2 linked regions of the Ovis aries genome follow. The protein of the gene in region 2 purifies or fractionates together with the protein of the main gene of each other region. This does not show direct contact. Links are inferred from orthologs where the notes say so. Each region holds a gene or a part of one and is shown on either strand. Other genes may lie near its edges.

The links.
Region 1: the proteins of PTPN18 (region 2) and PSTPIP2 purify together in Homo sapiens (affinity purification with mass spectrometry; 4 studies listed by BioGRID and IntAct, with this or other methods). This does not show direct contact. The link is inferred for Ovis aries from reciprocal best matches to the Homo sapiens genes PTPN18 and PSTPIP2.

What each region holds. Positions count from the first base shown.
Region 1 is NC_056076.1:46,211,153-46,223,323, forward strand, and holds the start of PSTPIP2 (proline-serine-threonine phosphatase-interacting protein 2), read right to left. Parts: upstream 6,181-12,171; 5' UTR 6,127-6,180; coding exon 6,094-6,126; intron 1-6,093. UniProt on the Homo sapiens protein: Binds to F-actin. May be involved in regulation of the actin cytoskeleton.
Region 2 is NC_056055.1:114,200,223-114,212,324, forward strand, and holds the start of PTPN18 (tyrosine-protein phosphatase non-receptor type 18), read left to right. Parts: upstream 1-5,564; 5' UTR 5,565-5,631; coding exon 5,632-5,724; intron 5,725-8,009; coding exon 8,010-8,118; intron 8,119-8,380; coding exon 8,381-8,457; intron 8,458-8,536; coding exon 8,537-8,632; intron 8,633-8,737; coding exon 8,738-8,776; intron 8,777-12,102. UniProt on the Homo sapiens protein: Differentially dephosphorylate autophosphorylated tyrosine kinases which are known to be overexpressed in tumor tissues.

The sequences.
Region 1 (12,171 bases), on a different chromosome or scaffold from region 2:
GTACAAACAGAGGTACTTTGGATATTGTATATGTTTGGATGTAACTGATATTTGCTTTGATTGGCTAATGACATCTATAGTTGCTTTTACCAGAAAAATCCATAAATTAATATGCATCCATACACACTTATACCAAGTTTGCACACACCAAGTCTTTTTGACTTTAGAATGAACTTAACTATGTATTATCTATGTACGTGTTCCTGTAATGGGTATCTGAGACACCAAACTCAGAATTCTACATTCACTGTGTAAATCTAATCTGTGAACAAACTGTTGTTTGTGCAGGGGAAAAAACTGATAGAGTGGAGCATTGAGGGGGAAAAAAAAAGGGTCTCTGGGGCTTCCCTGATGGCTCAGTGGTAAATAATTTACCTTGCAATGCAGGAGACATGGGCTCGATCCCTGATCCAGGAAGATCCCACATGCTCTGGAGCAACTAAGCCTGTGCTCTAGAGCTCCACAACAAGAGAAGCCAGTGCAAAGAGAAGCCGATGCTTCTCTGCAACTAGAGGAAAGCCCGCACAGCAACAAAGATCCAGCACAGCCAAAATTAAATAACAAATAAATGCTTTAAAAAAGGGTTTCTGATAAAGGTGAATAATGTCTTCCCTCAAAGAAAGAAGAATTAGAAAGTCCAGGAAAAATAAGAATGGAGATCTAACTATAATATACTACTTCAGGCTTCCCTGATGGCTCATCAGGTAAAGAATCCGCCTGCAATGCAAGAGACACGGGTTCCCTCTCTGGGTTGGGAAGATCCCCTGGAGAAGGAAATCGCAACCCACCCCAGTATTTCTTGCCTGGAGAATCCCACAGACAGAGGAGCCTGGCAGGCTACAGTCCGAAGGGTTGCAAAGAGTCAGACATGACTAAGCGTGTGCACACACACACACACACACACTTAGCTTTAAAAATAAAAACCTTTACATGCTGTGGGAATTCCCTGGCGGTCCAGTGGTTAGGACTCTGCACTTTCTCTGCTGAGGGTATGGGTTCCACCCCTGGTCAAGGAACTAAGATCCCACAAGTCACATGGCAAAGAAAAATAAAATAAAAAACAGTCTTTACACATTGTGACAACATAAATAATAATTATATTGTTTTTCATTATAAGTCATTTGGGAATATTTGAATTTTTAAAGAATATGCTTACACCATCTAGACTTTTTTAAAGTTTGTTAACAAACTTTTGTTTTCTTTCCACTTGTTCAGATTTTGTTTCATATATTTCAAAAAGAATTTCCCATTTTTCTGGAGGCTTCTCTGGCAGTCACAGTGACTGAGACTCTGCTCTTCCAATGCAGGGAGCTTGGGTTTGCACCCTGGTGAGAAAACTAGGATCCCACATGCCTCATGGCCAAAAAAAGAGAAGAATTTCTTGTTTTCCTTAGAAGGTAGATCCCATGACTTTCTTATTAAATTCTTACAATGCTAAAACAAGAAAATAAGATTTGTGATAATCATTTTAAAGTTAGAACCCAGTGGCTGCTCTAGAAAGAATGAACTGGAAGGGACGAAAGTCAACGCCTTTATCTTGCATTTTGCCACCAGGCAGGACAATACCAACTCAAGATCTGGTAAGACCCAGAAAGAACAGATTCCAAAGCGGTCAGAGGTTTGAAGCAGAGGGACAGCCCTGGGTGGTCAGGCACAACGAGCAAGTTCAGGGGGCCCCAAGCCTTCCCCTGGTCACTCCCCAAGCAGAGGAGAGAGGCCTCGCCCACCGTAGGCACAGGGGTGGGAGAGGTTAGGACAGGCAATAGGAGGCTGGTCTGGGCTTAGAGCAGTGAGAATCAGGAAGACCATCAACATAAGGATCTAGAAGATACACAGGGTCAGGCTGGGGTCACACCCTCGTGAGGAATGTGGGACTGTCCTGAGGCGGGGAGCATCTCCCTCTCCTGGAACAGGTCACCTGTGCAAGGCCCCTCTGACCACAGGCCAAAGGCTGGGACCGTCCCTATGTGGCCACCTTCCCTGGAGCCCTGGAAACCACACCCACAGCCCCTGTCTTATTTCAACAAGATACCGTCAACGTGAACCAGGATAAATAACAGCACAGCTTAACCACACAACTGCTGGGAGGGAAAAAGCACACACAGTGGGGGACTATCCCAGTTTTAAAGAGCATTCCCTTTTCAAATAGATCCACCGAAAGGTTCCTTTAAATGAACTTCCCACGGGGCATCTGAAGATTATTTATACAGTATACGCTGACTCACACCTTTTCAGGAACATCTACCTAATTTGACCATGGGCCTCTCAACTTCCATGGAACATTCCTCTCCTGGGCCTGTGATGGCTCCTGTGAGGGTTGAATCCCTACATCTCTACCTCTCTTTCTCTGACCCCTCTCTACTCCTGCCAAAACAAGGTAGTCACCAAGAGTGCTTCTCTGGGGTCCTCTTATCTCTTGATTCTCAAGGAGTAACTGTCAACCACTTCCTTTAATTATCACCTCTGTGCTGATAATAGTTGACAATCACAAGTGCTCGCTATGTGCCAGGCATGCACAGAACTCTGATTTAATCCTCACAACAGTCCTAGAGCACCAACATTGGTATTATCCTCATTTTTCAACATGGAAAAACAGAATGAGAGTTGAAGTTATCTGCCCAAGGTCACTCAGCTATAAGGGGCAGATGGGGATTTAAACTTGGCCATGAGTCTGAGTGAACTCCGGGAGTTGGTGATGGGCAGGGAGGCCTGGCGTGCTGCAATTCACGGGGTCGCAAAGAGTCGGACACAACTGAGCAAGTGAACTGAGCTGAACTGAGGCCACCTGAGAGCCTCTGCTGTTCCAGGCACTGTCTTTCCTGGACACCCTTTGCCTGGACACCCTACTGGGGCCCCCTCTACCAAGTCCTCAAACCTAGGATCAGGGCACACTCACTGTTTGTACTGGTTGTTCAAATATTAAAATATCCCCAAACCCTGCTGTCTGGCCCCTGTTCCTTCCCTAGGACCTCCCCATATCCAGCAACCCTGGCACTGTCCTGAAAGCTGAGGGCTGCTGCAGGGGCTTCAGGATGCTGCGAGTCTCCGTCTTCACCAGTGCTACCCCTGTAGTTAATATTGTCAGTATCGCTTCTGCCTCCTCCTCCTTCTCTCCCCACAAACCAGTTCCTCATGTGACTTCCTGCTTTCTGGGGCCAGTACCCCACTCTCCTGCTCACCTTACGCAGAGCCTGCTCGGAGCCTTTCTTTCCTCTCCCCCACTGCCCGGTTTCAATTGGTGACCTTGTCCCGTGGCTTTGACTTCTCTTACCCTCTGCCATTCCTTTCATTGGTCTCCTCCTGTCCCTTCCCTGCGATTTCCATCCTGGAACAGACCCTTTCTGCCCCTCGGCCCCTGCCAGAACTCTCCCATTCCCCAACCCCTTTGTCCTCTATATCCGTGAGGACAGGCATTCAAGACTCAGTCCACCCTCCCTGCTGGCTTCCTAATGATGAATGTACCTTCGACCCAAGACGGTGCTCTTATCCCTGCAAATGCCACCTCTATACAGAGAACGTATTTTCTCTAATATTTGTTCAATTCAATCAGCTGATACCCACTCGGGTTTCCAAAGCTTTCTACCTTATACCATCACAACCTTCTTGTCCTTGAAGCATGAGTTGCTGCCATCCCCTCAGTGATAACAACAGCCTTGCTCCCCACTGTCTACCCATCCCTGAAAATATGAAAGCATCTCAGGCAGCCCCTAAGGTCTCCAATAGTTTCCCTTCTGCCCCCTTTCTTTCAAATCTGGGCTGACTGTCCCGTCTGCCTGGTTCCTGAGCATCCGTATGAGAAGCACCATCGCAGTGCTGGAGGCTCAGTGGGTGGTGGCACTCAGTGCAGACACCCCAGGAACTCATGGTTGGAGCTGAAGGAGAAAGATATGCACGTGAAGAGTCAAATGATGTCTCAGCGTCTACATCTGACAGTGCCAAAGGACACTCTCACTGAGCACCAGCCTCGCTGAAAGCACTCGATGAACACTTGGTCTATGCAGAGTCCTGCTGCACTGTTTAATAGCTCTACAATCTTGGGAATGTTGCTCAACCTGTTTGCCACTCAGTTTCCTTATCTGCAAAATGGAATAGTCAATAAGGTACCCCATAGGGTAGCTGAGACGTAAATGAGTGGTATATGCAAAGTGTTTAGCACGGTGCTTGCCACAGACTCTATACACAGTAATGTTAGCTATTACTGTTTTTATTACTTGACATAAAAATCATATGAAATTAGAAGATATCTTTGCAAACTATCACTCAGGATCTTATATGTTTTGAAAGTAAAAGCTCGGGGAGGGGCGAGGGGGAAGTAAAAACTCAGAAAGTTCTCTACCCTGGACTTTTACCAAATCTCTAACTCCCAACACAGACCTCATATCTGCCCCCTCCCCTAAACATTCCTGCAAGACTGCCTCTGGGAGCAGCTGGGGGGCTGCCTTCCTGTGGCCTGGGAGCCCTCTGAGGATGGAGGCCGCAGCTCTCAACCCCATTTCATAGATCCACTGTACTCATTCGACAGCTATCTGCTGAGATCTCACTGGCAACAGCCCGTGCAAGGGGCAGTGGCACTGAAAGCCAGACAACAGCTGTCCACAAGGTGCTCACATGCTTGCAAGGCCCCCAACCTCAAAACCATAAAGGACAATAATTATGAAGGAATACAACATGCACTATCGGGCACAATCAGGGAGGGCTTCCCTGAAGAGAAGACACTGGGCAGAGACCTGAAAACTGAATGCTACATATTGAGGGGAAGAAAAACAGCGCTCTCTGTGCTGTTTTTTTCCCATAGTGCCTGGCATGGGACCCTGAGATCCTTTATTCCACCCAAAGAATTCACAGGCCTCCTCCAGGGGCCAGCTCCAAGGCCATGCACCCTCTCTGTGAAGCTGCTTGTGGTGAGAGGACCATACCCCACAGGTGGGCAGTGCTCAAGGAGAACCCCAAAAACTCCAGGAAAAGGGACTTCTCAAGGCAGGGTCTAAACTGTGTCCCCCAGGTTACAGGACCAAGTTTTCTCTTTGTAGCACTCTCCATGGGGGAAAGGAACCTGCTAGGTGCTATGAGGCTAAACAGGGAGCCATCAGGGTTACTTTCCTTTCGGCTTCCCTGATAGCTCAGTTGGTAAAGAATCCTCCTGCAATGCAGGAGACCCCAGTTCAATTCCTGGGTCAGGAAGATACTCTGGAGAAGAGATAGGCTACCCACTTCAGTATTGGGCTTCCCTTGTGGCTCAGCTGGTAAGGAATCCGCCTGCAAAGAGTCAGACAGAGGGAGCAACTTTCACTTCACATCCGGACTGCAGGTAAGGAGATGGGGCGGCTTGGCAGCAGTAGCTCAGTCTGGAGACAAGCTGACTTTCTGCTCCTGCCTTAAAAGGATGAGGGTGGCTCCTCCAAATGAGGGGGTACAGACTGTTGAGGGGCACCTGGGGAGCGAGAGGACGGGGGGAAGAGGACTGGACAGAGAAGAGGACTGAGCTGACGCCTCCTGGTTGGGCCCGTCCTCGGGCTCAGATGCCCCCACCAGCTCGCAGGATCTCACACACGCACCAGCCTCCCCCTGGATAGGGGGACAGGGGGCAAAGGCTGGGAGGGGCTCAGGAAACGGGGCTACGAGACCGGCAAAGCTTCTGCTAGAGAACCCCGCTAATGTCTGGAGGCTCGGACAGGCTGTACATTTCCGCGGACCTGGAAAAGCCAAACAACCCGGCGAAGTTTACCGTACGTTCTCTGACCCACGTTACCCCCCAAATCTGCTCACAGTGCAGCCTCCGGGACCACCCTGCGACTGTCCCAGGACGAGTGGCTCCTCCCTTTGGGTCTCGGTTTCCCCAGGTGTAAGATGAGAGGGGAATGTCCCAGCTATAAGGCTACACCTGTCTGCGGTGACCCGGGGCGCGGACGGCCGAGGGAAACCCTGCGAACCGGACCCCGGGGACCCGAGGACGCGCGGCGGGCTGGGGGCAGCGCAGAGAGGGGCCGGCGGCGGCCGGTCCGATCGGCTTCTGCTCCGGACAGGGGCCCACGGCTCCCTTCGGGGCCCCCATCTCCCAAGCCGGGCGATGGGCTCCTCGCCTCGCTGACTTACCCAAAAGTTCCCCTTGAACAGTGAGCCTGTCATGGCTGGCTAGCGAGCAGCGAGGAGAACCAGAGCAGGCGCGCGGGGACGAGGACTGTCAGGACCTGCCAGCCCGGCCGCGCACCCGGAGCTAAGCCCCGCCCACGCCACCGCCCACCCCGCCCCCCACACCACCCATCTGCCCGCCCCGCCTGCCCCGAGCCTCACCGCCTGGCCCCGCCCCCGAGCCCAGCTCCGCCCCCGATCCCCGCCCCTCCTGCCCCGAGGCGCATCGCTCGGCCCCGTCCCCTACCCCAACCCCCGCTTCGCCCCCGGAGCCCCACCCCCTCTCTCCGGCCCCGCCCCGCGTCCCCACCACGCCCCGAGCCCCCACCACTCCCCGCTCCCCGCACCCTTCGGCGGTCCTCAGCACCCAGCACCCCCGACTCCTGCCCGAGCCGCGTCCGGGGTCTGCCTGCACCCTGCACTCGTCCCGCGCGGAAGACAGAGGCGGCCCGAGGGTTAGACCCTGCGGCGTCAGGCGTCAGTTAACCCTACGTCCCTCTCCTTCGGGAGACCTTTAAAGATCGGAAGGAACCGATTCTGTCGCCTCCCTGAATTCGGTTCCGTTCCTGCCCACAGCTCCCTCCTCCCTTGACCCAGTTCCTGGCGGAGACAGCCAGGCTCTGCGCGCTGGTGGACTGAGCCCCCGTCGGATCCGAGGTGGTCGCGGGGACTGCGCGCGGCCTCCACTGACAACACTGACGGCCGCGTTAGGTGTGGACGCTTCAGCTCATCAAGTGCGGGACCTCAGAGGCACCCGCCACAGGTAAGCATGTTTTAGTCCAAAAGTCATGGAAAGGTCATTGGCCCTTGACTCCATGTCCCTCAGTGGGGTCCTTTCAAGGTGTCCAGAAACTCAGCTCCTCCCCAACCCTTCCGCATTCTTAGGATCCAGACCCAAGACCCTTCTCCACCAAATCCCTCCAGAAGTATGATGTCCCAGCGTCCTTCCTCTTCCTTCATTCTCCTAGTAGAACAAACACCCCCGTAAACATAACCGAGGGCAAGTCAGACCCATCCCCGCTTTGCAGTGATAAGGCACTCTGAGACAAAGTACAGCCCTGCGCTACCTGCCCTGAACCAAAAACTGAGGCCCACAGAGGCTGACTGACGTGGCCAAGATCACAGGTATTTAAAGTATGAGGAGCTCGGTTACAGCTCTGCCCCTCTCAACAGAATCAGAGCCAAAGATAGAGGTCATTCCTGAGGCTGATCCACTCAAGGAGGGGAGGATGCAGGTCGAGAGCCAGCCCCCAGCCTCAGACCTGGAGAGGCAAACTGTGCCTCTGAGCAGGTTCTAGCTTGGTACAGACACAGTGAAGATAGCAGCTGGGGTGATGTGAAGGGCAGCTGGAAGGTTTGCCCTCACCCACCCCAGTGATGGAATCCCACCAAGAGTCATCTGCAACAACAGAGATGGAGAGGTGGCCTTCAGCTGCATCCATTCATCAGGCTGTTCAACTCTCTGGAAAGCAGCGAGGTTAGAAGGAAAAAGGGAAGCCTGACAGCATCATCAGGGGCACCAGGAGGACAGGCTCAACAGAAGGAGGGGTAAGAAATAGTGCCAACAGAGGAAATATGCTGAAGTGCCACAGATAGCATCAAAGTTTTTCCTGGGAGTTTTGAATATTTTGGAACAAATATTTTAAATCAATTCTAATTGTTTAAATTTTCATTTTCAACATTTTGTTTAACCTCTCAGGGTACATTGTACTTGATTTTCGTGGCTCAGACCCACGAGGTCCCCTGAATTTTAACTCTCTTCCACCACCTGGTGGCAAGATTGGAAATTTCAAATGGTTGTCCACACAGAAAATATTCCTCATCCATTCCTAATTTATAAACCTTATCACCTCAACAGGTGTTGGGAATAAAAAGACAAGTAATATTTGTACTATATCCATGGGTCTTGCTTTGAATTGTTTTTACAGCAGAAGTGTGTTAGTCGCTCAGTCACGTCTGACTCTTTACAACCCCATGGACTGTAGCCCACCAGGCTCCTCTGTCCATGGAGATTCTCCAGGCAAGAATGCTAGAGAGGGTTGCAATTTCCTTCTCCAGGGGGTCCTCCCAACCCAGGGATCGAACCTGGGTCACCTGCATCACAGGCAAATTCTTTACTATCTGCACCACCAAGGATGCCCCCAAGGGTCTATAACAAATTTGGGATATTTTACTAATGAAGTTAAATAACACTACTACAGCCATAACACTACTACAGCCATAACACTACTCCAGGAAGATCCCTGGAGCAGGAAATAGCAAGCCACCCCCATATTCCTGCCTGGAGAATCTCATGGACAGAGGAGCCTGGCAGGCCACAGTCCATGGGGTTACAAAGAGGTGGACTACAGCAATTATGGAATAATGAATCAATACATTTAATATAAACCACAATTAACACATTTACTGTGTTAACAGTGGATAATTTAATGGCATTATTAAATTCAGTGGCATTATCTGAATTTAATGCATTAAATTAATGCCATTAATAGTGGCATTCATTATTATTAATTCAGTGGCATTATCTCTTTCAATAATATGCATTTGCATGGTTGGCAGGCAGATTATTAACCTCTGGATCACCAGGGAAGTCCTACATTTGCATTTTTAAGCTCGTACTGTACATATTTGAGTCTTGCTTTTGTAACGTAACAATATTTCATTAGTATTTTCTAAAATCCTTTAATACACCTTTCCTAACATAAAGTTTGATAGCACATGATGCTGGCTGAATGGACAGGACACTCTTTCATGAGAAAATTGAAAATCTCTGTGGAAAGAAATTCTGCCATATTGCCAAAATTTTTAATGCTCCCTTTTTTTTTTTTGGCCACAAGTCTTGCAGTGAAAGCATTGAGTCCTAACCACTAGAGCACCAAGGAATTTCCTAAGTGCTCCTATGTTTTGATCCAACAATTCCATGTTAGAGTTTATCCTCCAGATATCCTCATATGTGCAAAGTGAAATATGTATATAATTATTTATAGCAGCATGGTTATTCTGGCAAAAGATTTGAAAGAACTAAATGCCATCAGTGGAGGACTAGCTCAATAGATTGCAATACATCTATATAATTAAATCATATTCAAGCATTAAAAAAATGAGGAAGCTCAGTGTTTTGATATGGAACAATCACCAGCTATAAAGCGGGGAAAAAACAAGATGCGAAACAAACTTCCGTTTGGGTAAAGAGGAAAAAGAATAGACACACATGTTTTAAATGTTCCTCTTATGCGGGGGTGAATGGGGCAGAGGGACATAGGAGGGAAGAAAACCTACTTTTCACTTCATGCTCTCTGGACCTCTGAGTTTATACAATATGAGTTTATTTCAAACCTCCCAAAAATTAAAAAGAAAAATCTTCAGTATCACTTTCTAACTTTTGCATAATTTCCCATCAAGTGGATATACCAATACTTTTTTAGCATTCTCTTAATGCTTTTAGAAATATCACTGTGATAAATATCTTTTACATAAATTTTTATTAAAATTCCTCGTAATGCAATGTTCACAGAAGCACTATTCACAATAGCCAAGACATGGAAACCTAAATGTCCAATGACAGATGAATGGATAAAGATGTGGTACATATATACAATGGAATACTACTCAGCCATAAATAAGAATGAAATAATGCCATTTTCAGCAATATGGATGCCACTAAGAGATTATCATACCAACTGAAGTCAGAAAGAAAAAGACAAGTATGATACCACTTATATGTGAAATCTAAAACATGACACAAACGAGCCTATCTATAAAACAGAAACAGACTCATGGACATAGAGAACAGACTAGTAGTTGTCAAGGGGGAGAGGTTTAGGGAGGGATGGAGTAGGAGGGTAGGGTTAGCAGATTTAAGCTATTATACTGGGATGGATAAACAACAAAGTCTTACCGAATACCACAGAGAACTATATTCAATATCCTATGATAAACCATAATGGAAAAGATTTTAAAAAAGAATGTGTGTGTGTGTGTGTGTGTGTGTGTGTGTGTGTGTGTGTGATATACACATATAATTGATTCACTTTGCTGTACTGCAGAAATTAACACAACACTGAAAATCAACTATACCTCAAAAAAGTTCCTCATAATCACAGGTTAAATAATATAAACATTTTTAAGGTTTTTGAAATTAAGCTGTCAAATTGTTCCACAAGAATTATAAAGGAAAGGGAGGCTTCCCCAGAAGGAATCAGGGACCTTTCCCTTGAAATAGGATAAATGGATGGTGAGTGGCAAAAATAACAAATGCCCACTCTGCATTCCTCTTCCTCCTCTGCCAACTCGCCTTAGTTTTCTTTCTTGAAGCACTGCTGCTTTTCTCTGCTCTCCTCACAAAGCCATGTTTCCCCATCAGAATTAAGTCCCAAATGCCCCTTTGTGGCCGTTGAGACCTTCCCTACCCTGACCTTTCCCACTTCACTCCCTGGCTTCCTCCCCTGTCCCCACCCTAGGCCAGCCAGGCTTTTCTGCCACCCCAGCTGTGCTGCTCCTTTGCAGGCTGCCTGGGTGCAGCTCGTCTCTTTTCTCAAATTCTATCTCAGCACCACTTGCCCCACCTTCTCCAGCCCTTAGCCCTTGATGAAATATGACTTATATCCATGTTTTTTTCTCTAGTTTCTGTTCCTCGTGGATAGCTTACCTCCCCAAGAAGAATGCAAAGCCCCTCAAGATAAGGATGCTATTTTCTCATAGAATATACAATGATAGTACCCGACAGGGAATTCAACAAGCTCTCCCTGATCATTAACAGCAGTACTGGATTTCCTTGGTGACATGGAGGATAGGAATCCACCTGCCAATGCAGGGGACACGATCCCTAGTCCAGGAAGATTCCACATGCTATGGAGCAACTAAGCCCGTGCCCCACAAATACTGAAGCCTGTGAGCCTAGAGCCCCTGCTCCACAAGAGAAAGTACCTGTAGTGAGAAGCCCGCTCTCGGCAATGAAGAGTAGCCCCCACTTGCCACGACTAGAGAAAGCCTGTGCAAAGCAACAAGGACCCAGTGCAGCCAAAAATTAATTAAAAAAAAAAAAAAAAAAACCAGCAGTCACTACCAATTTTTACCTCAGTTCCCATAGCCTGATCCCTCCCTTCCAGGAGACAGGGGCAAATCTGGCCAAGGAGCTAAAGCCAGGATCTGAGAAGCAGGACCTGGCCAAGCAGGGGACAGAGGGCAGTAGTAAGTCAATGTCAAAAGCAGAGAGGTTGGATTTCATCACTAAGATTAGAAGCTGAGTAGATTCATGAGTGGAACAGAGGGTCAGAACAGAACATGAATAGTATACAAAGGGAAAACTTCCAGGAGAAGGCTTCAGTACCCAGAGGCTAGCTGTCTGCAACAAAGCACAGATGAGTGTGGTCTGCCCTTTGCACTGTTGGGGCACAAGGCAGACCACCCCCAAAATATCCTCAGTGGGATGATTTTGAATTAGTAACTTAAGAAATTGCAAATCCAAGGACACTGTAACACCTGTCTCCCTGAAATCAGGAAATCTCCCATTGGAAAGGTCCTCTCTGTGTAGCAGGAGGTTGAAAGACATCCTTATCCCCAGAGATAGGAAATTCAGGGCCAAGAAGTCTGTATAAACAAAACCTGTTATGCTTCTTTTATTTACAACCCCAAATCCAAACTCTGTTTAGACTCACTTATTAAGCACCCATAGCCTGTTTGTCCTGATAAACCCTGTCAAATTTATTGTCTAAAAAGCATAAAACTTACCTGCTTTAGCCATGTCTTATATCCCATTTCTGAGACCTCCATGTGCATGAATTAAAATTTGTTACTTCCCTCATTAATCTGTCTGGTGTCAATTTTATCAGTAGGCCAGTCAAACGGAGTGTGAGGGGAAAATTCCCCCTTCTTGACATCTTTTAAGTTTAGAATTTTCTTGAGTGAGGTAAGGAACTCAGATGTGTTCCTGACTGAAGTAATTTAAAGATGGAAAAACTTTGATATTCACTGTTACATGAGACAACCTACTGTCTACAGGGCTTTTTTTTTAACAAAAGCCACCTTTTAAGACAGATAAGC
Region 2 (12,102 bases):
GCCTTTGCCCTGCTTCTTTCTGTACTCCAAGGCCAAACTTGTCTGTTAATTCTGAGTATCTCTTGACTTCCTACTTTTGCATTCCAGTCCCCTATAATGAAAAGGCAATCTTTTGGGGGTATTAGTTCTAGAAGGTCTTGTAGGTCTTCATAGAACCATTCAGCATCAGCTTCTTCAGCATTCTGGTTGGGGCATAAATTTGGATTACTGTGATACTGAATGGTTTGTCTTGGAAATGAACAGAGATCATTCTGTCATTTTTGAGATTGCATTCAAGTACTGCATTTCGGACTCTCTTGTTGACTGTGAGGGCTACTCCATTTCTTCTAAGGGATTCTTGCCCACAGTAGTAGATATAGTGGTCATCTGAGTTCAGTTTACCCATTCCAGTCCATTTTATTTCGCTGATTCCTAAAATGTCGACATTAACTTGCCATCTCCTGTTTGACCACTTCCAATTTGCCTTGATTCATGGACCTAACAGTCCAGGTCCCTATGCAATATTGTTCTTTACAGCATCAGACCTTGCTTCCATCACCAATCACATCCACAACTGGGTGGTGTTTTTGCTTTGGCTCCATCCCTTCATTCTTTCTGGAGTTACTTCTACACTGATCTCCAGTAGCATATTGGGCACCTACCGACTTGGGGAGTTCATCTGTCCGGGTCCTATCTTTTTGCCTTTTCATACTGTTCATGGGTTCTCAAGGCAAGAGTACTGAACTGGTTTGCCATTCCCTTCTCCAATGGACCACGTTTTTTCGGAACTCTCCACCATGATCCATCCGTCTTGCGTGGCCCTACACAGCATGGCCCATAGTTTCTTTGAGTTAGACAAGGCTGTGGTCCTTATGATGAGATTGGTTAGTTTTTTGTGATTGTGATTTTCAGTCTGTCTGCTCTCAAATGGAAAAGGAAAAGAGGCTTATGCAAGCTTGCTGATGGGAGAGACTGATGGGGGGAAACTGGGTCTTGTTCTGATGGATGGAGCCGTGCTCAGTAAATCTTTAATCCAATTTTCTGTTGATGGGTGGAGCTGTGTTCCTTCCCTGTTATTTACCTAGGGCCAAACTATGGTGGAGTTCGGACTTCCTGGTGGCTCAGGTAAAGTGTCTGTCTACAATGCGGGAGACCTGGGTTCCATCCCTGAGTCGGGAAGATCCGCTGGAGAAGGAAATGGCAATCCACTCCAGTACTATTGCCTGGAAAATCCCATGGACAGAGGAGCCTGGTAGGCTGCAGTCCATGGGATCGCAAAGAGTTGGACACAACTGAGCTGCTTCACTTCCAAACTATGGTGCAGGCCAACCAGGCCCCTCCATCCATGGAATTTTCTAGGCAAGAGTACTGGAGAGGGTTGCCATTTCCTTCTCTAGAGATATTCCCGACTCAGGGATCAAACCCGGATCTCCCGCATTGCAGGCAGACGCTTTACCGTCTGAGCCACCAGGGAATCCAATGAAGATAATGGTGACCTCCTTCAAAAGGCCCCAGGCGTGTACTGCTACATTCAGTGCCCCCAACCCTGCAGCAGGCCACCACTGACTCATACCTCGACTGGAGACTCCTGGACACTCATGGACAAGTCTGGGTCAGTCTCTTGTGGGGTCATTGCTCCTTTTTCTTGGGTTCTGGTATGCACAAGGTTCTGTTTGTGCCCTCCAAGAGTCTATTTCCAAGGGCTTTGTAAGTCCTGGCAGCTCTGTGGTGGGGTTAATGGCGGCCTCCTCCAAGCGGGCTTATGCCATACCCAGGTTTGCTGTACCCAGAGCCCCTGCCCCTGCGGCAGGCCACTGCTGACCCGTACCTCCACTGGAGACACTCAAACCCTTGAACTCATGTTCAAGGTCGGAGAAGCCCCAGCAAGACAGTAGGCTCTGGAGCAGCCACTGCGTGGCGCTGGAGCAGCTGTGAGGAGATACCCCACGTCCGAGGGCTGAGAAGCCCCAGCAAGATGGTAGGAGGGGCGAATTCACGCTTAGAATCAAACCCCATACCCGGCAGAGATGCTCAGAAGGCTCAAATCAACCTTGTGTGTGCCAGGACCAGAGACCCTGCAGAGACTGGTGGCCATGTAGTCTTGAGACACTGGCATCAGCAGGGAAAAACAGGATATTGCCTTAAGGAAAAAACAGCCCACCACCAGGGCATTGTGGTCACTGTGACTTCATCTCTTGTTTGTCAGGTCACCTACAATGGGCCATTTTTTTAACAATACGCCATGAGCCCCTTGTGGACCCTAACAGTGTACACCATATTTTCTTTATCCATCAGTTTATGAAATTTGGTTTCTCACTTTGGGGCTGTTTTGAATAATGCTGCTATGAGCATTTGTGTTCTCTTTAACTTTTTTCTTTGTGATTTATTCTGTTAGGAAATTGGTTTGTCTTGTAGAGTTTCCAGAGTCTGGAATAAAAGCCCTCACAGAGACAGTTACCACCAGTTACTGGTGAATGCAAACTGCCATTTATAACTTGAGTGAGTGGCATTTTTCTGTTTGCCAAATGGCAGACTTGTAGGTGGGCCAATAGGTAAGCCCACCCAACCAAAGGTTCTTAACAGAGAAGAGCAGTGGGAGAATTTTTTCAAATTTCTTCTTCCCTCTTGTGGCCTAGTTAAATAAGGAATTTGGAGAGGAACTTTTCAGTAGGGAATTCAGTAGTCTCAGACTGTCTCCTCACAAGCTTTCTAGGTGAAGGTGGTCTCTCCTGTTTACGATTTCCCCTTTGTAACAACAGCCTAGGCTGGGCTCTGCACAGTATTGTGAAAGCTTCCCTGAGCACCTTCCAGCACCCTGTCCACTTGGCTCTGTTGCTGGCCTCTGAGCTGGCAAGCAGGTGGCAGACTGGCATGTGGGTGTTGGAGTGCCCAGGACCTGCAGGACAGTGCCAGTTGTTCCCACTGCTTGCCTCCAGGAGTGTGTGCAAGAGGGCAAGCAGCAGCAGTGAGTCCCATTGCAAGAACACAGCTTGCAGTTCTCTGGGAGAATGGAGAGGGGTGAGCCACGGCTGCTGGAGGAGGTCTTGCTGGTTTTCCCACCCCCCCACACCCAGTGCCCGAGCTGAGTGGAGGGCAAGCCAGGAGAGTCTGGATGCTGAAGAGACATGGAGGGGTGGCCAGTGTCAGGATGGCAGTCCACTTCACAAGAGCAGGACATAGAGTGGGCCAGGGAGGAAGGTTGGAGTTGTGGGTGAATGTGCACCCAGAAACAGTGAACCATGGCGGAAGCAGGGCAGGTGGACTGAAGTCTCAGCCACTCTGTTCACAGGCCAGATAGGCAGATAGATCCCCAGACAGGCAGACAGACACACAAACCTCTGGTAAGACAGACTTCCAGATAAAGTCCCAGGCAAAGACTACATAGCAAGACAGCCAAACAATGGACAGATTCTTAGACAGGTGGGAAGATGACCAGCCAGGCATGCAGAGAGACCTGTGTCCAGACAGGACACCCCTCCCACCCTGCTTCCAGCCAACGGAAAGACAGAATCCTTCAGGAATAGACAAAGTACCACCACTGGGCAGAGAGACAGTGGAAAGACATCCTACTACCCAGCCAACTATCCAGCCAGATCTTTAGCTTGGCAGACTTAACTCTGCCAGTAAGAAAGACCCCAGCCTATCAGAAAGGTGCTCAGGATAGACAGATGTCCCCTAAACCAGGGGGACAGATAGATATAGACACCCCATCCTGTTGGACAAACACACCTCCAGCCCCTAGTGGAACAGAGATCCCCCAGCTAGCCAGAACCCATTTGCTGCATTAGCTGCCCTGTTTCCTGGTCACCACCACAGATACGCAGGGCTCACTGAGCCTCAGTGTTGCCTCTGCTCTCCAGGTTGACAGTTTCCAGTGACTACTGACATCCAATGACATTCACTACTAGCAGGGTTCAGAAAGCCCATTTGTGATCCGCAGTGGATATTCCTCCTTCACCCTGGTGTCCACTATCCCCAAATGATTGCTATTAGTGTCCATGATTACTCAGGGGCTCAAGTGTCTCTGTGACTCCTCCAATGGACCTCCATATTTTCTCAAAGTTCAGTGATGCTTCTTTATCCCACCACCCTGAGTGCAACAACTGAGTCCTGAGACCATCCAAGAAATCTCAGTGATTACACTGACATTCACTATCGAGCCCTGGTTAGGGGTCCTCAATGAACTTGTCTGACCCTTTTGACCCCTCAATTACTTGGTAAACTAACACTCCAAGTCCCAATGGCTCCCTGGTTACTTTCAGTCTATCACTGACCTCCCAGTAACTGCCACTGACATCTACTGACAGTCTCATGAACGTCGAAGGACCTCTCACTGGCCTGCAATGAACTCACTGATAACGTCAATCCTTGGTGGCCACTACTGACCTCTGAACTTTCAAAGATGACAGTGAGTCAGCAGTGACTCAATCCCTCAATAAGTGAAACATCCCTACTGACCTGCTTTTTGCCTTCTCAGTCACTTAAACAGGGATTGGCAACCTACAGCCTGCAGCCCACCAAAGAAAAAAGACTGACACATGAAATTAAAATTTAAAGTCCACAAATAAAGTTTGGAATACAGCCATGCTTATCCCTTTACATATGACCTATGGTTGCTTTCATCCTGCCTGTCGAAGTTGAGTGGCTGGGACAAGAGCCAGAGACCTCAGTCGTTTAAGAAACAGTTTGCCTGTCTGTGACAACATTCTGATAACTCCCTAATGAATTAGGTTCACACTCCTTACCTCCAAAGTGAAGGATGGGGTAGCTCACCTACACTGAACGGCCCTTGGCAGGGGCCCCTGGCTCCTACCTACTCTCTCCCTTTGTGGCTCCCGGGCAGCAGCTGTCCTCTGGCCTTCTCCCCATTTTCTGAAGACGACAGTATGAGAATGAAAAAAAAAAAAAAATCCTTAAAAGCGTTGAGAACATCTAGATCCCTGGAACCCACTCCCAAAACCTCAATTCTCAGTTTCCTGGAAGTTTTATACAGCTTGAGATTCCCAAATTAGGATGATCCTGGCTCCCTCGGCTCCTCCTGGCCCGACCCAGAAAAAGAAGGAACCTCAAGAAATTTTGTCTTTCTCGCAGCTCAGGTGCCCGGCTGTCATTTCCCCCCGCGGCAACCTCTCCCAACCTCCCTTGGACTCCGCCGGAGCGCAGAGCGGGGTAAGGTCTCCACATAGGGTTTCCCAGTCAGGAATTTCAGCTTCATCTAGGCAGCCGTCTTTACTCACAGCTGACACGCCACCCCGGTTGGGATCCGGATACGTCCAGCTCCCTGGAGGCCGGGCGAGGGCATGTAGCCATCCGCCATGCCAGGGCGTGGACCCCGGGCCCAAGCTAGAGGCGGTGTCCATAGGACCATAGGGACTCATCCAGCCCGCGCGGAGACAAAAAAATTGAAGCGCCGGCGCAGTTTTCTAGCCCCACGCGCAGCCAGGGGAACCTAGCGCCCCCAGTCCGGTAGCCTGTGGGCGGGGCTGGGGCGGGCTCTGAGTGTCATTGGCTGAGGGGCGCGCCCTGTCTGCCGCTGAGCACTCCCATTGGCCGGCGAGATCTGAGGTGGGGCCTGGGCTGCCTTCAGCGGAGTCTACCCCAGCCGAGAGAGCGGAGGTGCAGGTGGACTGCACCTCACTCCCAGGCGGCACCATGAGCCGCAGCTTGGATGCTGCGCGGAGCTTCTTGGAGCAGCTGGAAGCACTAGGCGGCAGGGATGGGGTGGTCTTCGCCGGCGAGTTCAGCGTGAGTGGGCGAGTGTGGACTGCCGAGCTCCTGCTCCTCGCCCTGGACAGTTCGGACCTCCGTCTGTTCTGTGCACCCTGCTGCACTTTGCTTCTCTCTCGGCGTCCAGGGTCGTCTTCTCACTTCGAGATCTCTCTGTTTTTCTCTCCCCAGCACCTCTCTCTGTCGCACTCTCTCTCTCCCTGCCCGTCTTCACCCTCTGCCTGCAGAGCCCCAGAGGGCGAAGTCCACTGCCGGCCCGGGCGGGGCCGCACACGCCCTCGGGTCCCTGCGCGCTAGCTGCGCTCCCGGTATCGTCGGGTTGCTGAGCGAAGGCGAGCGCTCACGCGATGCTCGGCCGCTCCAGGCGACCGGGTGGTCACTGTCCCCACTGTGGTCCTGGGGAGGAAGGGGCTGGGAAAAGAGGAACCAAGAGGCCCCGCTGCAGTGAGGATATGGAGGCCAGTTCTTACAGGCGATGTGGCCTGAGGCTCTTTATCCGGTCTCTGTGGCCTCTGTTTCTCCTAGGGTGAAATGTGACGAAACTGACCTGAGGATTAAAATAGCCAGTGTGGGTAAACCGCGCTTAGCACATCTTGAGCGCTTACTTTATAGGCGGCTTTGCCACTAGTTATAAATAATCCTAAACTTTACAGTGGGGTAGTGCAAGCTATACGTAAGGAGTGCTAATGCAGCAGCGTCGTAGGCATCGCACTGTACAAGTACTGAGATATTTTAAATATAATAACATAGAAACGTGTTAGAATCATATATGGTGACATCTTAAATTTAGAAATGTCTGATAAATATATGTAAGTAATAAATGACTATATATTCATTAAGAACAATAGAAATAGAGAACAGACTTATGAAGTAATTGTATTAATATAAAATATATAGTGTATATGTATAAATATGTCATAAACTATAACTTATACATTAATTTCATAGAACAGAATAAACATGAAAACTCATTTATAAAATGAGCAGTTATTCAAGTTTCTAAGAAACAATAATAAAAGTATACATCTTTATACAAATATAAAATAAATATTATGTATAAGAACTGTGTAATAAATGCAGAATATATAATTTATGCAATATGAAAATGTGCATAATAAATCTAAACATATGATACCCAGGTAGTACATGACATCATATCCATCCAGGTCTGGGTCCAGTTTGGGACAGTGAGCAGTGCTGACAATCCCTATGCAGAAGCTGGGTGGTGAGCAGTGCCAGTTGCTGGAGGCCAGCCTCCTGCAATCTCCTGCGCTCACAAGAATCTTCCAAGGCCTCTCTGGGCCTTGGTTTCCTTATCTACATAGTAGAAATATCCATAGTGGTATCTACTGCAGAAATGTGTCCATGAAGACTTAAATAACCTACCTGATGGGTGTAAGAACACTTAGAATGGTGGCTTGCAGTCACGGTGGCTTGGTAGGTGTTATTTATTATTGTCATGATTATGAATGCCTGGTGATGATGGCAATACTATTCACTGATCATAACAATCTAACAGTATTAAAGCACCTAATAGTATCTACATAAGTAATGTTATACATTTAATTCATATACATTGTATATTATCTTCTTGTGTATCATGTTTGTTATGTTAAGTACATAATATATTACAATTATTGTTCATGATAAGATGTAAATACACACTGAGGGTATGGGGACAGATGCTCAGAGGTCTGAGTTCAACACTCACCCACTTCCTGGGTGGCACTTTCAGAAAGTCACTGACACATGTGGTGCCTCAGCTTTCTTACTGCACAACGGGGAGTCAATAATACCAACTTCGGAGGCACCTTGCAGATAGTTCAATGCCCTTACACAGGGCTTAGCATAGAGAGGGCACTCTGAATGGCTACTGTTATTGAATCAATATTGGAGAAGGGAATGGCAACCCACTCCAGGACTCTTGCCTGGAAAATCCCATGGACGGAGGGGCCTGGTAGGCTGCAGTCCATGGGGTCGCTAAGAGTCGGACACGACTGAGGGCTTTCACTTTCGCTTTTCACTTTCATGCGTTGGAGAAGAAATGGCAACCCACTCCAGTGTTCTTGCCTGGAGAATCCCAGGGGCGGGGGAACCTGGTGGGCTGCCGTCTATGGGGTCGCACAGAGTCGGACACGACTCAAGCGACTTAGCAGCAGCAACACTATCTGGACGCAGCACTCACCTTTCATAGGGCACTTGCCGCATATCCCTTTGAGAGCCTCAGTGTCCCAGGCCTCTGATCTGGCTCCTCTCTTGCTCTCTCTTCCCACCCCCGGGTCTTCTTGCGGTCCTCCCACCAGGACATCCGGGCCCACTCAGCCGCCTGGAAGACGGAAAGCGTGTGCTCAACGGAGGCCGGCAGTCGCCCCGAGAACCTGAGGAAGAACCGTTACAAGGATGTGCTGCCTTGTAAGTTGGGGTGGGGGTGGGGCCTCCGGAGGAGTCGGTGCCCCCACGCTGTGGGATCCAGGTGCTAACCAGGGTCCCTGTGTCCTACTGGCTTCCCAGAACTCTCCCTCCAGGAGCCCTGCTCTGGCTGCATTTATCCCCAGCATCCCACCAGTGCACCCTGATGGGATCCCCCCAGGTGTGCCGTCCCCTGCTGGCTTTCATCTGGGAGGCCATCAGGGCTGTCACCCACAAAGTCCATGTTTCTCACTTCTGCTGGCAGACGATCAGACACGAGTGATCCTTTCCCTGCTCCAGGAAGAGGGACATGGCGACTACATCAATGGCAACTTCATCAGGGTCAGGCTGGGAGTCAGGAAAGGGGCAGAGGTGGTGGAGGTGACAGCAGAACCTCGATAGTGAACTTAGACTTTACCAGGGTGCAGACGGAAGCCAGGCCTACATCGCCACGCAAGGACCCCTGCCTCACACCTTGCTAGACTTCTGGCGCCTCATCTGGGAATTTGGGGTCAAGGTCAGCTTTGGGGGAAGGGGAGGTGTGGCCAGTATTCTGGGTCCTCCCTTGGCCCTGATAACTGCACCCCCTAAACTGATTCTCCTCCCTTACCCCTATGTCTAGGTCATCCTGATGGCCTGTCAGGAGATGGAGAACGGACGGGTAGGTGTGCTCAGCCTCTGGAGTGCATGTCCTTATGCAGGAGACAGGAGAAATCTCACTAGCTCTCCCCTGATCCCATGACTCAAGGGACGGGTTCTTGGAGTGACCCCACTGTAGCTCTGCCAAGCCCACTATTACTGGCTTTAATTTTTTAAATGATCATTTTCCTTTTATTCGTGTGGTTCATCCTTCCAGTGTTGGCAACCCTCTCCTGCTGGACTTCCTGCCCCATAGACCATAAGACCCTGTAACTGTGGCTTCCCCAGTACAAGTCTGATGTCTTTCCCCATGTTTCTCCCACTTATTCACTATGCTCCGACCACTGGGGCCTTTGTTCTGCCTCGAGTCCTATGTTCCGTCTGTTCCCTCTGCCTGGGACATTTTTCCCCTTGGGCTGCTGCATCACCACCCTCAGGTCTTGGCTCAAATGCTCCTTCCTCAATGAGATCTTCCTGGACCTCACCCCATTTGAAACTCCCACTCTCCTTCCCCGGTCCTACTTTCATTTTCCTTCACAGTTCTTAGCAACTTCTGAATGAAATATAAGATAATCTACAAATGCATTGTGTATATTGTTTATTCTGTCTCCCTGAGTAGAAGCAAAGTTCCAGGAGAGCAGGGATCTTTGCTTTGCCCATAAGTATAAATTAGTTACTCAATAAATGTGTATTATCACTGAAGGCACATGGTTTCTGCATCCTGGCCGGCTGGGATAGCTGGCTGATCATGGAGTCTATGCAATCTATAGTGATGTACATTTTTCATCTCTAATTTTGGTAGTTGTGATATCTTCTCTCCTGGCTATTGGGTCTGGCTAGAATAAAGAATCAAACTTTTAACTGTTGTACTAAATCTGTCCTGCTGCCTGTTTTTGTAAATAAAAATGTATGAGAACATAGTCATGCTCATTGGTTTACATAGGGTATACATGCCACAATTGTCACGTTCAGTAGTTGCAAGTTAAGTAGACTGTATGGCTCCCAAAGTCTAAAAGATTTATTATCTGGCCGTTTATAGAAAGTTAGCCAATCTCTGGGCTAGAGGATTATTAGTTTTATTTTTTTCAAAGAAGTGGCTTTGAATTTTATTCATTTTCTCTAATTTTAAATTTTTATTTCATTAATTTCTTTTATCTTTATCATTTCCTTTCTTCTGGTTTAGGTTTAACTTGCTTTTTTCTAGTTCTTTAAGCTTAGATAAAAGATTTGTGATTTTTATCATGTGTAAGTAACGCCATTCATTTTTCTCCATACACTGCTCTAGCTACATTCCATAAACGATGTTGTCTTTTTTTTCCAGTTAATTCAACATGTGTTCTAGTTGCCCTTGTGATTTCTTCTTTGACATGGTATTTGACTATAGCTGTGGTTAATTTCCAAATATTGGGGACTTTTCCATATATCTTCCTGTTATTAAATTTCAGTTCCATTGTGGTCAAAGAACAATTTTATATTATTCCAGATGTATTGAAACTTGTTTTGTGGCCATGAATACGATTTATCTTGGTAAATGTTTTATGTGCACTTGAAAAGAATTTGTATTCTGCTTGGTTGAGTATTCTATAAATATCAGGTCAAATTGATTGTGTCTTTTTGAAAGACACTTTAATATTTTATATCTTTATTGTATCTTCATTGGAAAAGACTCTGATGCTGGGAGGGATTGGGGGCAGTAGGAGAAGGGGACGACTAAGGATGAGATGGCTGGATGGCATCATGGACTCGATGGATGTGAGTCTGAGTGAACTCCGGGACATGGTGATGGACAGGGAGGCCTGGCGTGCTGCGATTCATAGGGTCACAAAGAGTCGGACACAACTGAGTGACTGAGCTGAACTGAACTGAACTGATAGATCTTTACTGATTTCTTTTCTCTAAATGTTCTGTCAGTTCCCAACAGGAGTGTTGAAACCTTCAACTGTTTTATAACTGTCAATTAGTACAAGCTTGTGAATAGTATTACTCAAATTGTATTATTCATATTTTTTTGTCTCAGTTCAGTTCAGTCGCTCAGTCGTGTCCGACTCTTTGTGACCCCACGAATCACAGCACACCAGGCTTTCCTGTCCATCACCAACTCCCAGAGTTTATCCAAACTCATGTCCATTGAGTCAGTGATGCCATCTAACCATCTCATCCTCTGTCGTCCCCTTCTCCTCCTGCCTTCAATCTTTCTCAGCATCAGGGTCTTTTCAAATGAGTCAGCTCTTCGTATCAGGTGGCCAAAGTATTGGAGTTTTAGCTCCAACATCAGTCCTTCCAATGGACATTCAGGACTGATTTCCTTTAGGATAGAGTGGTTGGATCTCCTTGCAGTTCAAGGGACTCTCAAGAGTCTTCTCCAACACCACAGTTCAAAAGCATCAATTCTTCGGTGCTCAGCCTTATTCACAGTCCAACTCTCACATCCATACCTGACTACTGGAAAAACCATATCCTTGACTAGACAGAACTTTGTTGACAAAGTAATATCTCTGTTTTTTAATATGCTGTCTAAGTTGGTCATAACTTTTCTTCCAAGAAGTAAGCATCTTTCAATTTCATGGCTGCAATCACCATCTGCAATGATTTTGGAGCCCCCCAAAATAAAGTCAGCCACTGTTTCCACTGTTTCCCCATCTATTTGCCATGAAGTGATGGGACTGGATGCCATGATCTTTGTTTTCTGAATGTTGAGCTTTAAGCCAACTTTTTCTCTCTCCTCTTTCACTTTCATCAAGAGGCTCTTTAGTTCTTTTTCACTTTCTGCCATAAGGGTGGTGTCATCTGCATATCTGAGGTTATTGATTTTTCTCCTGGCAATCTTGATTCCAGCTTGTGTTTCTTCCAGTCCAGTGTTTCTCATGACGTACTCTGCATAGAAATTAAATAAGCAGGGTGACAATATACAGCCTGGACGTACTCCTTTTCCTATTTGGAACCAGTCTGTTGTTCCATGTCCAGTTCTAACTGTTGCTTCCTGACCTGCATACAGATTTCTCAAAAGGCAGGTCAGGTGGTCTGGTATTCTCATCTGTTTCAGAATTTTCCACAGTTTATTGTGATCCACACAGTCAAAGGCTTTGGCATAGTCCATAAAGCAGAAAGAGATGTTTTTCTGGAACTCTCTTGCTTTTTCCATGTTCCAGCAGATGTTGGCAATTTGATATCTGGTTCCTCTGCCTTTTCTAAAACCAGCTTGAACATCAGGGATTTCACGGTTCATGTACTGCTGAAGCCTGGCTTGGAGAGTTTTGAGCATTACTTGACTAGCATGTGAGATGCGTGCAATCGTGCGGTAGTTTGAGCATTCTTTGGCATTGCTTTTCTTTGGAATTGGAATGAAAA